2 linked regions of the Coturnix japonica genome follow. The protein of the gene in region 1 interacts with the protein of each later gene in a pairwise test. Links are inferred from orthologs where the notes say so. Each region holds a gene or a part of one and is shown on either strand. Other genes may lie near its edges. The genes, in order: RAB11FIP2 and RAB11B.

Region 1 (3,813 bases):
TGTACTCTTGTGTTGGTGTGTGTGCATGCATTTCTACTGACTGTGCTCCCAGGAGTGGTAAAGCAGTAACAGGAGGGTGTTGCTACTTCATATTTAGCTGAGCCATTTTACTCATCTAACTTATGTAATCAGAGAGCTAGAAATATGAGTTAGAACCTGTTAGATACTTTCTAAATTAGTAATTTCATAAAATTTATAAGAGATTTTTCCAGGGCTTCTAATTCAGCATCACCTCGAGGCAGGTGGAAGAACTTGTCCTTTGGATGACTTGTCTTCCCCTCCCCAAACCTCTTCAGGAAGGTTGAGAAGTAGTGTTATTTCTTTTCCTTAATGATGCCAACCAATTAAATCATTTAATATTTTTCATGTGTGAGAAGAAGTATAAGAAAAGCTCTCATGTCCTCCAAAAGGAGAAAGAACAGCAATGAGAATATATACAGATGTGTTTAGAGCACTTCTGTGCAACTGGAAAATTGGAAGTGTGCCCTCGTGCCCCTTTTGAAATAGGAAGAAACTACTGATGATGAGTGGGGAGTAGGTCGGTCATTCACTTAGGTAAGGCTGTGGAGGAGGGACTGAGTCTTAATTCTACTGGTGAGTCCAGTAGACAGAAGAGCAAGGTGGGCAAGTAGTCAGACATCTGGTTAACGATAATGTCTTTGTTGAAACTGAGAAAACACATATCTTTTTGAAACAAGTGACCTCATCAGTTGGAGGTTTGGATCATGTTTGCAGAGCCTGTGGAGGTGTGATGAAGTAAATCCTACTGGTTACCTGCAGCAAAGGGCAGTGTCGGATACACTGATGCTGTTCTACCACTGGTGTTTGTGACTGAGGTTGCAGCTGCAAAACCAAAATGATGTTTGAGTGTAAATCATTCCAAGGTTTTGGATATTTCCTTTTTTGTTTGTGTAATAAATATTAGATACAAATTCTTTGTAAGCAGATGCGATCCCCTTAGCTTCAGTGAAGCTTAATATGCTTCCATTGAGTTGACTTGGATTCTTGAATTGAACAGAGCAGAGAGTTTCCTGCTTTCTAGTTATTGCATGTATCCTCTTTCAAAACCAAGTGTGGACCAAAAAGTTTTTCAATATTGGGAATATTTTGATTTTCAGTATGGAATTTGGCTTTCATATTTTTAATTATATAGCAAGACTTTAATCGACTAACTAGATTTTAATTGCAGGCCTCCAAAGAAAACAACTTAACTTGCTCTTTTTCTCATTTAAGGTGGTTTCCCCTAGAGTCCAGACAAGGAAAAAGAACCAAAGACAGAGGAGAAATAAAGGTCAATATTCAGTTTATGAGGAATAACATGACAGCAAGTATGTTCGATTTGTCAATGAAGGACAAAACCAAATCCCCTTTTGCTAAACTGAAAGACAAAATGAAGGGTCGAAAAAATGATGGGACATTTTCAGATACATCATCTGCAATCATTCCAAGTACTCACATACCTGATGCAAACGTAGAGGTGTGTAGTGGTGAAGTACAAATGAAATCAAAACCAAAAAAACCTTTCCTTTTGGGACCCCAGAGGCTATCTTCAGCTCATTCGATGTCAGATTTAACAGGATCACACGTCTCCTCAGAAAAATTAAAAGCCAGCACAGGTGGCTACTCTCATCTTTTCAAGCGTCAGCTAGAATCTTTTGGTTCAGTTGATGAAGGAGGTAAGTGAACTCTATCATGAACGTTACAATTATAATTCCCCACTTCTAGAGCATACAGAAGTCTGTTTCTTTATGAAGCAGTTATAAGGCCAAAAAATAATGAATTATTGCTGGCCTATTTTGTCTCTTCCACTAGTTGGAAGTAACATAAATGCCATTAAGAGAGTAAGAAATAACTTACATTGATCATAATGTATTATATTTTTTATTTTTCCTCATGTCCTCATTTGGGGAGTGTGTTGTAATGAAACATTGCATTCAAGCCGAATTCAAGGCAAAGTGATATAGTGTGAAGAATGTCTTTTTAAAAAGTTAAGAACTATCACCGAAGTTTTAAACCTAATTTATACAAATGAGTGAAAGTGCTTTGCATCACTCAAAGTTTTTAGGCAATAGATTACTGTCACTTTCTGGAATGCCACACTAGCTACAGCTGTATTCCTTCTAGAACTTAGTTCTTATGCAGAAAATTAAAAAGAAAAAAAGGCTGTAGTTTATTCTTTAAACACATCAATATCATGAAGACAATGCCAGAGCTGTTGATATTTTAAATGTAGATTTGTTAGTCAAGGGTGCTTCAGGCTAAAACTCGCTTTCAGACCTTCCATACCAAAGCTAAAATGGTTTCTCTGTGTGTTATAAGCTATGCTGTAGCATCTCATTGATAATGTACTAATGGCAGATTGTTTGCAGGGAGTGTAAAATCTCCGCATAGGAGGACATTAAGTATTGATACTTCTAAAATGAACCAATTGGACAGCACAGCTGATGAAACTGCGCTGGAAGCACAAAATGACCCATTTACCAACGTGAGTGCTTCATTACCCCAAAAATTCGCTACACTGCCAAGACAGAAGAATCCATTTGAAGAAAGCCCAGCAACGTGGGATCAAAACATAAGTCTGTTTTCCAAACCTGTTGAAATCAAAAAGGAAATTAGAAAAGAGAAAAAAGAGAAAGTTAGTCTTTTTGAAAGAGTGACTGGCAAAAAAGATAGCAGGAGGTCAGATAAACTTAGCAATGGGGGATCAGAGAGCTCCACTGACTTGAAATCACCGAGTGCGTTTGGTGAAACTCATCAGGAGAGTTTTGATTATGAGTCAACTAATCCGTTCATGACAAGCTTCAAGCCTACAAGCATCTTGCCATCTTCAAGGTAGGTTTTGGCTGCATTTTGATTTGCTATCTTGAACATGTTATATAAATCAAAGTCTGAAGAGTTGAGGGGTGTAGTCTTTGTTTTCCAAACTATCAATAAGAATTTAACGATTTTTGTTGTTGCTAAGTAACATTTATGAACCTTTAATGTAATTTAACCTTTTCATTCTATATTTTATTTAGAAGTTACATTTATATTAGTAAATGTATTATTACTGTGACTCTTGGGTTTGCATATGCGGAAAACCTTGTGTAATAGCTAGCAATGAACTACCTTCAGTCCAAGGCAAGGTTTTAAAGGGTGAAGTTTTAATTGTTAGAGTATGATGGAACAGAATAAATGAAAGGTTTGAGCAATGAAAGCAAATGCTTTGGAAAGAATGGGCGTAGATTCTATATATTGAAGCACAAGAACTAGAGACCATTCTGTTTCTAAATGAGAGCATCTGCCTGGCCCTTATCCTGCCTGGAATCATTTGCCTCACTGTAGCTTTCCTGAGTTCATGTGTATTCAAGGCTATATACCAGGCAGCAGTTTATATGCTAAACAAAATGACTTGAGTTACAGGAGTTAATAAGAAACTTTGATTAAAATTATTTATTTTAATCTTTGTTTGCTTATCAACAATTTACATGTTTTCCTTAAATTAACATATATATATATGTGTATATATATATATATATATATATATACACTTCTGTTTAAATCTTCAAATCACTTTCTCAACAAAACTAATCTTGGTTGTGGATTTAGTAAACTGAAATGGACCAACTGTAGAAAAGATTAGTTGTCTACAAGCTCGTACAGACTTCAGTGACTCATCTTCTTATTGCCTCCTACAAGTCAAGCCAATTCTACTGTCTTAAATAAAGTATTTTCAGCCAGAGTCTGAGAATATTATTTATTTAATAAAGGATTTCTCTAGATTAAAGTGAGGTTAGGATGTAGCTTGCTTTGTCAGAAGTTAAACTTTCATTT
Region 2 (4,585 bases), on another chromosome or scaffold:
CTGCCTTGTGGGGGTGAAAAGGATAAAAGCGGCCATGGGGGGAAGAATAAGAGCTTTCTTTTATGTTTGTGGAAAATCAGAGCGCGCCAATCAGAGCTGAAGCCCGATGGGGCGTTTGGTTATTGGAAACAAATGTTTGTCATATTGTTCATCAATATCTGGCAACCTCATGTACTGAATATTTATGATGAGCTGTGCTGGGAAGAGGCTTAATCCTCTTCATTGTGTGAAGGAATAGACTCCTTTTGACAGATAATTAACCGGTCTGTTTAAAATTCCACCATAAACCTGGTCTTGTGTTACCAGATCTGCAGTGCTTTGCAGTTGTTGGATGGGCAGCGTGGTGTGCACTGATGGGCACGGGGCAGAGCTGGAAGCAGGGGGGGCTGAAGGAGCAGCCCTGAATTCTGGCTGTAGGCTGGACATGGCACGTGCCTTGTGCTGCACTGCTCCACCTGATGCTGACTTGTTGGTTCGGGTCATTTCCAAGTGTTCCTTGCCTTTATTAGTGGGATCGAAGGCCGTGGAAGGGGTGTGATTTCATGTATTCTGATGGATGTAGTATGGATTTGGGCTCTTGCTTTTGGTTTGGGGCTTTCTTTTTCCATCTGCATTTGAACAGGCTGTATTGTTGAGTAACCCGTTCCCAAACTGAGGAATTTCCACAGTATCTGATTGCTTTGGTCCAGAAGCTTAAAGGCATCTTCCTGCTCTGTGCCCATAGAGGTACGTGGGTCTCCAGTCTTTGGATCTCCCTGCTAAAAGAGAAAGTCCTGACAGTTGATTGAGAGCAGCAAGAGGCTGATTGTAAGGTAGAGAGAGCACGAACTTGTTGCTGAGTTTGGATCAGGTTGCCTGCCTTTATTACTTCTGCATTCAGTAACATCTCAGAAATGCTCTGCCAGAGCATGGAGCAGCTGAAGGCACTGAAGGTACCTGGATTACAGGGGGTAATTAGCAAAGTGCAGCAGGACCGCCTGAATTCTCTTCCTGCAGCCAATGGATTAATGACCCAGGGTCTTTTTGCAGAGTTCATGCATGAAACTGGTCATCTTCACAGGCCAGAGGACAGACACGAGTACAACCTGGAGAGGCAGCTGTGCTTTCTCGAGCTGTGTGTTCATTAGGAGGGCAGAGCACTGCGTGGAGCTGGCTCCAGCTGTCCTGGGTGGGGAGAAGCGGGGTGGGAGCTGCCAAAGCTGGAGCCTGAAACAATGGCCTGAGCACAAAATAAAGCAAAGCTGAAATAACAGAGGGACCAGCCCAGTTCGTGGCCATGGGAGAATGCTGGTGAGCTAATTCAGAAAGCGTGCAGGGAGAGGTGTTCTCTAATCTGCTGTGCATGGATCGGGAGGGCCTAGAAATCTCTGAGCACTGATGTTTTCCTGTTAGCATGGCAACACCTTGTGCGGAGGCAGAGTTTCAGTCTTCTACTTCTCATCTAATCCACTGGAACTCGTTCTGTTGGGTGAAGTCCTGCTTTGTTTTCTGGCTTGTTTGTAGTATCAGATGTCTTCCTGTGGGGAGCACGGTGATGGCTGGAATAACTGCAGTAAATCCCACAGAAGGCTGGGCATGCAAGGGGCAGCTCGTCGCCCTTGTTACTGTGGGCCCTGCCTGAAGCAGCGCAGCAGCCAGGCAGCACAGTGCTGCTGTGGGGAGTTCATCTGGTAAATGATGTCCTGTCTTTCAGTGGTGCTGATTGGGGACTCCGGAGTGGGGAAGAGCAACCTGCTGTCCCGCTTCACCCGCAATGAGTTCAACCTGGAGAGCAAGAGCACCATCGGGGTGGAGTTTGCTACCAGGAGCATCCAAGTGGATGGGAAGACGATAAAGGCACAGATCTGGGATACTGCAGGGCAGGAGAGATACCGTGCCATTACTTCAGCGTGAGTACCGTGTCTTTCTTTGGGACTATGGCAGATACATCTCCGGGTAAGGACTGAATGAAATGCATTTGGATGGGACAGAATCCTTGTGGCAGGTCTTGCTGTAGATCCAGGTAATCAGGTAACAATATCATGCTATTTGATTAGTATTTGGAATTTGGAACTCATTTCTGGGGGATGGTTATTACACAAAGCATACAGAACTGCAGTACTTGCATCAGCGCAGCTTTCTGAATGGGTTTGTTGGACCTTTCTAAAGGAATGTGCCTTTGTGTTCTCCCAGGTATTACCGTGGTGCTGTGGGGGCCCTTCTTGTCTATGACATTGCCAAACATCTCACCTATGAGAACGTGGAGCGCTGGCTGAAGGAGCTGAGGGATCACGCAGACAACAACATCGTCATCATGCTGGTGGGCAATAAGAGCGACCTGCGCCACCTGAGGGCTGTGCCCACTGATGAGGCCCGTGCTTTTGCAGGTCGGTATGTGGGGCCTTCAGGTGCTTCTCAAGTTCAGTGTGCTGGTCACTCTACTGTCCAGTATTTAACTTTTGCCTTGTGCTTATTATTATGTGGGAAAAAAAAGGGGAATTGGAGGTTTCGTAGCTGGCTTGTTAAATAGTGGATGGTGTTTTTTCTTGTTGAATCTGTTGGTAGCACATGTTTGTAAAACAGCATCCTTGAGCTGCCCGATACCTGAAGCATAAACAGTTCCTCTGGGAAGGCTGAAAAACAGCAGGAAATGTTCAGAGGAGAAAATACCTCATATAGTGTCAAATATCACAATGCAGAGTGTCTGTCCTTCATTCCTAGAGGCCTGGTTCTATGGAGAGCATAGAGTTCCTAACTGAACCACTTGTTATTTATTACAGAAAAAAATAACCTGTCCTTTATTGAAACTTCTGCTCTGGATTCCACAAATGTAGAAGAAGCCTTCAAGAACATCCTTACAGGTATGGTTTGTTATGGGTTCTGTGGACCTACCACATAGTGAATCTTCTTCATGGGCACAGTTTGCAGTTATTGAGACTGTTTTGGAAATGAGTGTTGGGAATGATTATATGTCTGCAGTCTGCCTCCCCTTACCTCTGTTTTACCCCCACCCCATGCACCTTTTTCCCCACCCACACGCATGGGGAACTTTCTCTTTCCTTGAGAGTGATGTGGGCCCATTACCTGAGTTTTATGGTTCAATAGCTGAATTCTGGGAGGATAAACTATTTCTGTATTCTCACCCTCATGCACTGTTCTGTGGAGCTGTGCCTGATGTACACGTCCCACCACGTCTCCAGAAGGGCATTTCCTGAGCATTTTTTGTTTTTTGGTGACAAGATGCTGATTTAACTTAAATGAGAATGAGCCTTTGTTCTGGTACTGCTCGGTTGTCAGGAAGTGTCTGATGTATGCTGCTTGTTGGACGCTGACCAGAGAACTGGTTATTATTGCTGTGCCTTGATTATATGTGAATGAGAGCCTATTACTGGGGAAATGGCTGAGTTTTGACCTGGTGAATTCTTGAAGGCTCTTTCAGGTTTGTTTTGCAGAGTGTGGAGGTAAACAGGCAGGAGCTGTGGTGTCGGTCTGAGCAGCTCTGTGAGCACAGAGGTGTGTTACAGTTAAAGATGACCAAGAGGAGGTGGGCAGGAGGAAAAAAAAGGGTAGTCAAGCTGCTTCTATGAGTAAAAAAGCCTGATGGATGAAGAGTGGGTTACGTTCTGCTCCCCAGCAAGATTTGGGTTGAGCTGCTGGAGAAGTAACTGGAGAATACTGCTGCTGAGACAGAGCTGTAGAGAAGAGCAGCTGCAGCCTGAGCTCTTGTGCAGGGTGGCCTTGAGAGCAGGTGCTGCTTATCTGTGACACTTGGCTGGATCTGAGGTGACTCGTGTGCTGCTCTGAGATGGTATCGGTGGATTTAGTGCCCTGAGCGTGGCTCAGCCATCACCATCCATCCTGTCTTCCCTCGTTGTGTTGTTCTGAGCCTGACTCTGGGTACAGAAAATGGCCAGAGGTTTTTCTAGGAGAGTTCAGTGCTGCCTGTGTAACAGATGGAGCCAGAACTGGAGCTCCATCAAAACAAAAAAACCAAAGAGCCCAAACCCTACAATTCCCCACCATTTAAAACCCTTGTTAAAGGCTTTGGCTGTTCCTGTCCTGCGGCTGTGACTGCTTGAATGTGACCATAATATTTACTGCAGGCTTCCAGGGAGGTGCTTGCCCTTTTCCTGTCTCACAATGGAGGGAAGTTGGAATGAGGTCCTACAGTCAGCGCAATAGAAATATTTCCACTTATTTCTACTGGCGCTGCAGGTGGAATGGTTTCCTTCTGAAAGCTTCTAACCTGGACGCTGCCTTTAACAGCTGGGGTGAATCTGTGCTTTCAGGCATGAGTTATTTGGAGTCAATGAAATGAATTCTGTCGGGGATGGCATTTGCAGATCAATGTGGGGCTGCGTGGAACCTCATTTTTACTGCCACGGATGGGGAAACTGATTTGTAACGGAGAGGAGCGGGTGGTCCTGTACTTCAGTAGGGACGGCTCACCGGGAGCTGAAGGGTGAAACCTTTAGGTCTTCCAGGCAGAGCTGGAAAGCCACCCAGACGTTACACTGCACAGCTGGTTCCCTTTCACAGCTTGAATCTTCCCTCTCCTGGCAGCTCGCTCCGAGGTGAGCGCGTGCTGTGTTGCAGGGAACACCTT

What was found.
Region 2: the proteins of RAB11FIP2 (region 1) and RAB11B interact in binary tests that used the Homo sapiens proteins (3 or more experiments, as listed by UniProt). The link is inferred for Coturnix japonica from reciprocal best matches to the Homo sapiens genes RAB11FIP2 and RAB11B.

What each region holds. Positions count from the first base shown.
Region 1 is NC_029521.1:26,290,904-26,294,716, reverse strand, and holds part of RAB11FIP2 (rab11 family-interacting protein 2), read left to right. Parts: intron 1-1,233; coding exon 1,234-1,676; intron 1,677-2,369; coding exon 2,370-2,832; intron 2,833-3,813. UniProt on the Homo sapiens protein: A Rab11 effector binding preferentially phosphatidylinositol 3,4,5-trisphosphate (PtdInsP3) and phosphatidic acid (PA) and acting in the regulation of the transport of vesicles from the endosomal recycling compartment (ERC) to the plasma membrane.
Region 2 is NC_029543.1:321,902-326,486, reverse strand, and holds the start of RAB11B (ras-related protein Rab-11B), read left to right. Parts: upstream 1-1,659; 5' UTR 1,660-1,674; coding exon 1,675-1,889; intron 1,890-2,172; coding exon 2,173-2,366; intron 2,367-2,759; coding exon 2,760-2,840; intron 2,841-4,585. UniProt on the Homo sapiens protein: The small GTPases Rab are key regulators of intracellular membrane trafficking, from the formation of transport vesicles to their fusion with membranes.